Cricetulus griseus: one gene and its partners. The protein of the gene in region 2 purifies or fractionates together with the protein of the main gene of each other region. This does not show direct contact. Links are inferred from orthologs where the notes say so. Each region holds a gene or a part of one and is shown on either strand. Other genes may lie near its edges. The genes, in order: Pias1, Stat1 and Irf9.

Region 1 (3,654 bases), on a different chromosome or scaffold from region 2:
CCCTCCCAAGTACTGGGATTAAAGGTGTACACCACCACACCTGGTCCAAGAGTAATTCTATTTACAATATTAACCAAAAATTGGTTCAATGAGGGCTAGTGAGATTGCTCAGCAAGTAGAGACACTTGCTATTAAGTCTATTGATCTAAGTTTGATCCTGGGACTCACATGGTAGAAAGAGAGAACCAATTCTTAAAGGTTGTTTTCTAACCCCTCCACACACATAGACACAAAACAAGTCTTTTAAAAAAAAGTGTGTGTGTGGGGGGGGGCTGGTTAACTACAAACAAAACTCTTAGTGATTCTGATATGTATCAGAACTACTGCATGCAGCAGAATCATTTTTTAAAAAAATTGTGTGTGTGTGTTCATCCCTGGAGGCTAGAAGGTGGCATCAGAACCCTTGGAGCTGAAGTTACAGGCAGCTGTGAGCCAGTATGTAGGTGCTGGGAACTGAACTTAGGTCCTCTGCAAGAGCACCAAGCACTCTTAATCATTGAGCCATCTTTCTAGGCCACAAGCATCTCTCGACACAATGAATTGTATATCCAAACTCTTGTAGTGCAGTACTCAATTGCTCAAGAATGCTATATCCCTGGGAAAAGTCAATCTACATTCTGCACTCAAGCATAGCAGTTTATCTGGCAGCCTTTACTCTACTTACCAAACAAGCTTTCACAAGAGAGTTTTTTGGAAAGATCCTAGCAGCACTCACCCTTTATTATTTAGTGGTGATGTAGGAGACAGGGAAGGACAGGTCCTCTTGGCAGAGGGCTCTTCCTCCTCTTCATCTGATGAACTGTCTATGGTTAGGTCAATCACCTCGACTTTCTTGTTTTTATTTGAGGACTGGTTGTGTGAAGTTACCTGATGCTCCAATGTGGAGCTCAAGCATCCTGTGTGGGAATGATTAAAGCACAAGACCCATGTCAAGTCTCTTTTCTCAAGTGTCCTTGTAGACAAGCATATCAGTTTAGAGTAGCAACACTATTGTAGCCAGAGTTGTAACACTGGCTCTGTTCTAGTAAGTTTAAAACTGCCACTTCTTATTAGTTGTTAATGAATTATTTTAAAAAAGTTTTGAATTAGAATAATCAAAATGTATCTTATGGCTGGCTGTGGTGACATAAGCCTTTAATACAGCACTCTAGAGGTAGAGTAACTCTGTGTTCGAGGCCAGCCTGGTCTACAGAGTGAGTTCTAAGACAGGCTCCAAAACAACACAGAGAAACCCTGTCTCAAAAAAAAAAAAAAAAAAAAAAGGTATCTTTTATGTCCATTTTAGAATAAAAGTTTGAGCAGGATTGAATGTTATATATGCTTATCTATACAGCATCCAAAATATCTAGGAAATACTAATATTTAAAAAAAATTTTGTCTCCTTCTAGCAAAACACTAAAGGTCAAATCTACCCACATATACATATAAATATTTAAAGAAAAAAGCAGCTAGGTGTGGTGGAGCACACCTTTGGTCTCAGTACTCAAGAGACAGAGAGAGGCAAGTGGAACTCTTGCGAGTTTCAGGCCATCTAGGGCTACACAGTGAGACCTTGTCTAAAAAAAAATCAAACAAACAAAAGAAAAAAAAGAGACATGGAAAAAGCAATGCTCACTACTCTGTACCAAAACTATAAAATCCTTTAAAAGGGTAGTGTACTTTAAAACTACGATTTTAGAAGTGATTTTAGAAGTGATTTTAGAAGTGACTTTAGAATACTTTGAAAGCTAGTACCATAAAAATCTTAAGACTGGCAAAAAAAGTTGATTTAAAAGGAATGCTGCTATTTGTGAACATTTCATCAATAACCTAACAATTACTGAGCTCAGAATGTTCAAAACCCTACATCCGTGAAAGTCATGGCACATCACAGTGGCAACCACAGATTTGTGAACAGCTACTCACCGTCAACTCCATTGTAGGAGGCAGTAACTTCCTGCACTTCCTTTTTTGATCTCATCGGAGCCCATGAGCCATCCTCCTTAAACTGTATTTCATCACAGTCTGTGCAGTACTTCAGGATCTCCATAAACAACCTAGACAAAAAATCTGTCCTTAGTACAGCAGCTTACATGAAGAGAAATGAGAAACATGACTCCTAAAACTCCTATGTTTTATACAAGTAATAAATGGGAGAAAAAGTAGAGCAGATAAAGTACATTTGTTCTCAAAACCTAATGCTAAATAGGAAAAAATAGTTACTCAAATTGTGGAACATTCATATAAAAAAGTCATGTAGCGCTGAAAAAAAAAAAAAGACAATTTAAAAATATTTAGTGTTTGTTATATGGGTATGTAGGTACCACAGTGCATTTGTGGAAATCTGAAGACAACTTGTAGGAGTTGGTTCTCTACTTCCACCATGTGGGTTCTGGGAATCGAATTCAGACTGTCAGCCTTGGCAGCAAGCACCTTTATTCACTGAGCCATCTCACAGGCCAAGATTTTTAAATACATAGATACATCTCAGTTCACAAAAACTGAGATGGTTAAGAAAAAAGATACCTCAAAACAAGATTCTTGGTGTGAGTAAAAGCATACACTAGTTATCTCTGGGTGGTGATTTTATATGTATTCAGTTTTCTTCTTTATGCTATACACTGGTAAATTGCTCATAAGGTCTTATTTGATAAACTGAAGCCATACATATAAAAATGTACAATCAGCCAGGTGGTGGTGGTACATGCTTTTCCCAAAACTTGGGAGGTAAAGGCAGGCACACCTGAGGCCAGCCTGGTTTACAAAGCAAGTCCCAGGACAGCCACTGCTGTACAGAGAAACCTTATCTCAACAAACAAACAAACCTAAATTAAAATAAAAAAAATGTATAACCAACAATTAAGTCCAAATACAGTAATACACTGGAACTAAAAGAATATTTATAGGAAATGCTTGAAATTCATTGTGACCAAATCATCTGGTAATAATGTTAAAAGAAACCAAAGACTAAAAGTTATTATTAATAGCATATAATCAGAATTTATGTAAAAATAAAACCAGAAGTTACATCAAAAATGGCTTTTATTTCCTGTTCTTTCCATTTTCACAGAAACAGATTTTATTTTAAGGAAAGAAAAAAAAAAAAAAAACCAAAAAGAAAGGAAAGATCATAGCCGGGCGTTGGTGGCACACGCCTTTAATCCCAGCACTTGGAAGGCAGAGGCAGGCAGATCTCTGTGAGTTCGAGGCCAGCCTGGTCTCCAGAGCAATTGCCAGGTTGGCTCCAAAGCTATACAGAAAAACCCTGTCTTGAAAGCCCCCCCCCAAAAAACCAAAAAAACCAAAACCAAACAAACAAAAAAACCTAAGATATATACTATACAGAGCTGGTAAAATATTACTATTAATTTAAATTTATAAGTTAGTTATCATTTCATTTATGACAAATCAAACAGGAAACACTGCTAATCATATTCTCCTAAGACTGACATCTTTAAAGCTCTGGGTTGTAAGTCTATGGATAAACACATTCAATTGCTTGTATATATTCCCTTCAGGCTCTTACGCCTTCTCATATACTATAAATAAACTGTCTTGTTTGAGTGTTTTACTGAAGGATACTAGAAATATTAGGAAGGCATTTTCCTTTCTCACAGTTCATTTCCTTGTTTCTTGTTCAGTGGCAAAAAGGCAAACAGAAATCTAAGGGAAGCG
Region 2 (3,654 bases):
CTCAGGTAGGCACCACGTGGCGGTGGGGCTGGGCCGCTTATGGCAGAAAGATTTATCGTAACAGGTGTATGGGATGGGGAGAGTGTTTCTTAAATGTAAGTGGTGTGGGTAGGTCAGCGCTAACTGAGATGTAGGAACTGAGGGTAAGCAGGATGAGGCTCCTTCACTTGGCCTGCCATAAAAGATCCCGCCCATTGCTAGGTTCCCACCCCTGCCGGAGGAGACAGAAGTGAATGCAGCAGGCTCCACAGCATCACTTCATCCCAGCCCCAGATAGTCACTCCAGAGACAGCCTCCCAACTGCTACAGACCGAAGTCTGGATCTTTGGGTGTGTGCTGCACTAAGGGCCTCTTCTCTGCAGCTGGCCTAACAGGTATGATGTGCAAAGTCCAACTACTTTAGACCTGAGGATGGCAATATCCTCTCCTCTGTGCTTTTGTTTATTCTAGTCAGGAAAGTACCTTCTCTAGGCAAAGCTCTCAGCCCTCAGAAAAGGAGCCAGTGATTTAAGTCTCCTAGGAAGGCCTGTGACGAATGGCCCTGGGGTAGCCTCTCCTCACTGGCCAGTCTCAGGACCTGCATGCAGTTCAGCCCTGAGTCCTGGGAAGAATTTCAGATCTGTTTATTTGATAGGGAGGTTAACAAAACCAGCATGTAAAATAGTATCTTAGATGAGATTAAAGAAATCTTACTTATCAAATGAGACTTTCACTTTCAAATTATAATTCAGCTCTTGTAATTTCACCAGCAGTCTGGAAAAAAAATAATAGTCATTACCTTAAAAAAATAAACTATCGACAAAAATTTATTTATTAAGCAAATTCCCCAACTGTAAGCATTTATGTAAACCACTCTCTTCACTTTTAGATTAGGGCTATTACAATGAACTGACAAGTTTGTATATATATATTTGGCTTTTCTTCTTATGTATATCTGTAGAATCCATTCCTGGCTGACAATTCTGGGAAAAATTCTAATACTAAACTCTAACGGAACACAACACCGACTTTACCTTCTAACAAAAGTTAATGAAAGCAGTGCTTTCGTATGTAACCCACCAACACAGTTCTAACCCAACTGCCCACTTTTGATCAATACTATATGGGCAAAAAAGTAAACATCAGTCCTTACAAAACTTGTATTTAATTTCCTGTGCTATTGGGAGAAAATATAAAGCACCACCAAGAAATTAAATTACAACTACTACCCATAACCAGAAAACAGCAGGACGGCACCCGAATACTGGTGGTGTAGAAGAGAGAGTAGATTAAGACTCCATGTACTCTGCTCTGATAGCTAGAGACTGTGGTGGTGGGGAGGGGCTTGCAGCCTCTGATGGGGAGCAGGTGATGGGGAGTTTCCTCTTTCCTACCAGTTATGAGTTCTAGGTTTCACTGGTGCTTATGTGGGCTGCTGTAACACTGCCTGCCAAAGAAACAGCTCCTATGTACACACAGCAGCAACCTGCAGAAGACAAGCCAGCTCTGCAGTGTCTAGTTGCTCATCCCCAGAGCAAAACTTGTTGAGTGCAGCCACTCCCTAGATGTATAGAGCATCTCTACAACTGCAGCAAGGAGTAAAGCAGGTGACATTCAAATATAATCCTAGTTTTAACAACTGAATTGCTGCATGCCATATATTTACACACACTTTTGTATGTGAAACACGCACACATGTTTTTATGTTTATGGACAAAATTATAGCAGAATAGACATGGAATGTTTACTGCAGATGTCCACATATATTAGATCATAGACCACTGATTCAGCCTGGTGAAGGACATGAATTCACTCACAGAAAACTGTACATGCCATAATCTACACTCACACACTATTTCAGTGTCTATCTGGGAGTCATAAAGCTCCATTATGAGCCTCTGCTTATCACAGGGAAGGCTTCTGGGAACTTTAATTGCGTGTTATACACATTTCTGAAATTCTAAGTTCCTCTTAAAATTAGAAAAAATCAGGTACATGTGTATATATGCAACTATACTAGTTATAGTTTGAGCATAATCCTTGGCTCTTCAAAGTAAGAGTTCATATTAAAATGCCTATTAGAAAACTGTTTTCTCTGGAGCACTCTATATAACCATTTTATAAAAGAAAATTAAAAGGCTAGATGTGGCGGTACACATACCTATTATCCCACCACTTAGAAAGCTGAGGCAGGAGGATTATAATCTAAATCAAGTCAGGGTTTAAAAAAAGGGGGGAGACAGACATAAATTCTGGGACAGGCAGCATATGGGACTATGTCTTCATTACCTCAACTTTACAGTGAACTGTACCCCAGTCTTCAAAACCAGTGGCCTCTGAGGATGAGTTGGCATACAGGGCTGCCGTTCCACCACAAATGAGCTGTCAACATTCAACAAAGTATAGATAAATTAGCATTTCTATAAAAGTTAAAGCAGTTAAAAAAATGACTTTTTTACCAAAGAGGAAATAGATGGAAAAATTGAAGGGCTGAAAACATTGGAGCACTGAAAAATATTTTGGGAGTCTGACAAACTGGGTAAGAAAAGTACTGTCTGCTCTAAGTGTGGAGTGGCCTCCAGGTCACTGGGAAAAGGGGCCATGAAGGTGTAGCCTGAGGGATCCATGTGGCTAGCAGGTAATGAAGGACCAGACCAAAAGCCAGCTGTGGGTCTCAGAGCCTAGGAAGAAAGGCTGCGAAGGGCTGGTTGGGAGGCTGCTGTGGGAGATTAGAAGACTGGATACGGGAGCCTGGCATACGGTGAGAAGAAGACAGGCATTCAGAGGTCAGACTTGCTGGGCTAGACATATGGACTGGCTGAGGGGCAGAAGGAGTAAAAATTACCACACTTCCTCTAGGAAGCCAAAATAAGGAAGAGGCACTGGCACAAGCCACGCATTCAGGAAGAATCGAGTGCCATTAAAAACTTGCACAGCCCATCAAACCCTTCCCAACTGTCTGAATGGCCATAGGTGTTCTGGATAAAGCCAAGCCTCCTGGGCTTACCTCTGAATGAGCTGCTGGAAGAGGACAAAGGTACGATCTGATAACACCTGCTTGTTTTTTGTAATAGGGTCCGGTTCATATGTGAATTTCTGTTCCAACTCCTCCAGCTTTTTAAGCTGCTGACGGACCTGCTGCAGACTCTCTGCAACAATGGTGAACCTGGGAAGGTACAAGACATGAGTCTCAGTGAGCCACAGTCCCAAAGCATCCTGGCTTAAAGACAATTGCAGAATCAACATGTGGTACATACTTCACACTCAGGGAGACATGGGAGATGGAGGCCTGGGGTAGCATTAAGCTCAGTGGCTTGTAAAGACTAGCATGAACTGAAGAATTACAACATGGTTCTGAGAGCCACTGTCCTGGATGTTTTGTGAACTTGACACAAGCTATAGTTTTCTGGGAAAGGAACCTCAATTGAAAGAGAGCCTCCATCAGACTGCCTAGGCAAGCCGGTATGCATTTTCTCAATTAATGACTGATGTGGAGGACCCAGACCACTGTGGATGGTACCAACCCTGGGCAGGTTATCCTGGGGTGAATAAAAAGCAGGCTGACAAGCCAAGAGGAGCAAACCTCTATATGGCTTCCTGAGTCCAGATTCCTGCTTTGGGTTCCTGCCCTGACTTCCCTCAATGATGGAGTGTGAGCTGAGAGTTCTAAGCTGA
Region 3 (3,018 bases), on a different chromosome or scaffold from region 2:
AGGACAGCTAAGGCTACACAAAGAAACCCTGCCCTGGGGTCGGGGGAAGGGGGTTCCAATGTATGAGCACACAGAACCTATTCTCATTTAAGCCACCAGTGGCTATAGTGCCGTTTGACTGTAGGCCTCTCTTAGAGATTGACTCCCAATCCTTTCCCCAGTTTGGTTGTCTGAACCTTGGATGGGGACCCCTAGCTTTGGAAGTACTAGGCCAAGTCTGAAAAACAAAATAGAAGGGTCAAGGATTGGAAAAGAGAGAAGGCAGTCATGGATGGTGGTCTGTGTCTGTAACCCCAGCACTTAAGAGGCTGGGAGAGGAGAATCACCATGTGTTTGAGACTAGGTTCCAGAGCCAGACAGCATTCCAGCTAGTCCTGCTGGCAGAGGAAAGCAAAGGAACTTGGAGAGGTCATCAGGAAGAGAGCCCAGGTACTAAATACCCAAGTCTATATCTTTATAATTCCCCTGTAACCCTGCTACCTCTCCCAACATAGCACATACTCATCTCTCTTTTAAAAAGCTTTTATTTATTTGTTGGAGACAGGGTCATAATATGCTACCAAGGTTGGCCTTGAATTCTCACTCTTCATGCCTCTGCCCCACAGGTGCCAAGGTTACAGATGTGTACTACCCTCCCCCCCAAGTTAAATTTTATTTAATTCTAGGAAGGAAACATAAAGTGCTTAGATTTAGAGTTAGGGGTTGGAAAGAGAGCAAAATTCCCTCTGATATCACACCATTTAGAACTTTCCAGTTCCTTAGAGATGAAAGAGGGTATATCTAAAAAAAAGGTAAATAAAAGTCATTCAGTCTGTCTCCCAAGTGCTGAGATTACAAATATTCACCAACAAGCCTGGCTCTCAAAATAGTTATTTTAAGGATAAAAAGATCCTGCACTACCAGCCATGTTGTATAATCCACATCGATAGTCAACACAAAGCAGGTAGACCAATGGTGTGGAGAACAAGACTATTTCAACAGAGACCTGAGGATCAGAGTGATAAAGCAGCAGATGGATGTTCTGGGTTCTGTAACAGAAACAAAGCGGCTTTCTGCTCCTCTGGAATTTTCTCCAGTAAATGCCGGGCAAAGGCCTGCTCCATCTGTATGGGAAGAAATGAGGAACAGGCCTCATGAGCACTGCAGGCACAGTCACTACCCCGTAGCTCCTCCCCCTTAGGAACAGTTCTGCAACCAATCAACGTTGACCTGGTTTTGGAGTGGAGCTCACCTGCACTGTGATAAGATTCTCCTGGGTGTGGCTGGAGCCAGGCCTCTCCTCCCAGAAATGCAGGGTTGCCTGGAACTTGGGTGGGGGGCCCTGGCCCTGGCAGTACTGGGCCAAGTCTAAAAGAAAGAGGATCAAGGATTGGAAGAAAGAAGAGGGAAGGCCAGGCATGGTGGTATATGCCTGTAACCCCAGCACTCAGGCTGGGGCAGGAGAGCTGCCATGGATTTGAAGTAGCCTGGTCTACTTAGGGAGTTCCAGGCCACCAGGAGCAATGTGAGAGTTGACTCAGAAACAAAAAGTAACAATATAGAGGGCCTTGAGTAAGGTGGAGCTGTCTGGGCAGTCAGATGCAGATATGAGAATGTGGTAACAAGGACACCAAGGTCAGGGCAAAGCTGTGGCTTAGAGATGCTAAGAATTAAGTGGTCTTCACGGTGCAGTAGGAAGGGTACCTTGGAGGCCTCAGAAGCAGCAGCCCTGGCTACCAACCCTTTGTTGTTTGCTTATACTCCCAACACTAGGGCACTAGGAGCCCAGGGACACCACGCTATCCTCTATGTTCCTACCTATGCTCACAATCAGAGGCTCAACTAGAATTTCATGGGTGGCCAGAAGGAAGGGACGGTCTTAGGAGATCCCCACAGCATGGTAGAGATGGTGGGGCGGGGCAAGTGTGTGCAAGATGTCTTGGCTCTTCCACAAACGGAGCTGTGCGTTGCAGTGTGTGGAGATGGTCGCAGGCTAAAATCCGTGTTAACCTGTTTGTACAATGCTCCCCCAAGATGTGCCACTCTTGTCTGAACCCAGCGGGACCTCATCTACCATGACCTTGGCGAGGGAAATGCTGCCGGAGCTGAACATACAGCTCCACATAATGTGCGGCACACGAGTGCAGGGGTGCCACGCACAGGCTGTGGTGACAATCTGCTGCCGGACAGGGGAGGGGGGGAACCCAGGTCAGGCCCAGGGGACAAAGAGACAGGGGTGGGTGCTGAGGTGCCCAGCTAGGAAGCCTTTACCTCTAGAGAAGCAGGTGGTACTGAAGAGCTCCACACACTTATTGCTGGGCAGCAGATGCGGACCAGGCCCAGGTGGGGCCTCAGGTGCATTCCAGGAGACGGGGATGGGACAAAGGCGCTGAACAAAAAGGCCTCTGGAATTGCTGGCCACCAGGATGCCTCTCTCAAGCTGACTCAGTAGGTGCTGGATAGGCTCCAGTGGATCAGGTGTGGGAAACACCACTTGTGGCATGTTGCTCTCCGAGACTGAGGGGTCAGCCACAAGGCGACAGTCTAGGCTCTCCACCGTGATCTCGCCCACCACACGCCCACTGTAGATGAAGGTGAGCAGCAGCGAGTAGTCTGGGAACAGAAAAGCCCAGCTGTATTAAGTGTGGGAGGAGCCTAAAGGCTAATAAGGGGCCCTCTTCTCATGTTGCACCTGACCAGCACAAAGTTTCAGAAAAAATGAAGTGCTCCAGTGTCCCCATTTTGTTAATGGGAAAACTGAACTCAGGGCAGGAATCCAAGCAAGCACTGGGAAAGACAAGGTTGCATGGCTGAGGCAGTTCCTTCTGAGTTAGAGAAGGTGTTTGGCTCAGCTGAAAGAATGGTTGCCTAGCATGCACAAAGCCCTGGGTTCAACACCCAGCACTACAATCAACCCTTGGCATGGTGCCACACATCTGTAAGCCGGATACTCAGGAGGATCAGGAATCCAGGTCATCTTGAGCTACACAGTGAGTCTGAGGTCAGACTGGACAATATGAGAGTGTCTTTAAAAAAAAA

What was found.
Region 1: the proteins of Stat1 (region 2) and Pias1 purify together in Homo sapiens (affinity purification with western blotting; 5 studies listed by BioGRID). This does not show direct contact. The link is inferred for Cricetulus griseus from reciprocal best matches to the Homo sapiens genes STAT1 and PIAS1.
Region 3: the proteins of Stat1 (region 2) and Irf9 purify together in Homo sapiens (affinity purification with western blotting; 5 studies listed by BioGRID and IntAct, with this or other methods). This does not show direct contact. The link is inferred for Cricetulus griseus from reciprocal best matches to the Homo sapiens genes STAT1 and IRF9.

The regions. Positions count from the first base shown.
Region 1 is NC_048597.1:174,375,731-174,379,384, forward strand, and holds part of Pias1 (E3 SUMO-protein ligase PIAS1), read right to left. Parts: intron 2,037-3,654; coding exon 1,906-2,036; intron 897-1,905; coding exon 716-896; intron 1-715. UniProt on the Homo sapiens protein: Functions as an E3-type small ubiquitin-like modifier (SUMO) ligase, stabilizing the interaction between UBE2I and the substrate, and as a SUMO-tethering factor. Catalyzes sumoylation of various proteins, such as CEBPB, MRE11, MTA1, PTK2 and PML.
Region 2 is NC_048595.1:403,706,685-403,710,338, forward strand, and holds part of Stat1 (signal transducer and activator of transcription 1-alpha/beta), read right to left. Parts: intron 3,146-3,654; coding exon 2,987-3,145; intron 2,362-2,986; coding exon 2,269-2,361; intron 754-2,268; coding exon 694-753; intron 1-693. UniProt on the Homo sapiens protein: Signal transducer and transcription activator that mediates cellular responses to interferons (IFNs), cytokine KITLG/SCF and other cytokines and other growth factors.
Region 3 is NW_023276807.1:210,814,590-210,817,607, reverse strand, and holds the end of Irf9 (interferon regulatory factor 9), read right to left. Parts: intron 2,593-3,018; coding exon 2,251-2,592; intron 1,348-2,250; coding exon 1,232-1,347; intron 1,104-1,231; coding exon 993-1,103; 3' UTR 507-992; downstream 1-506.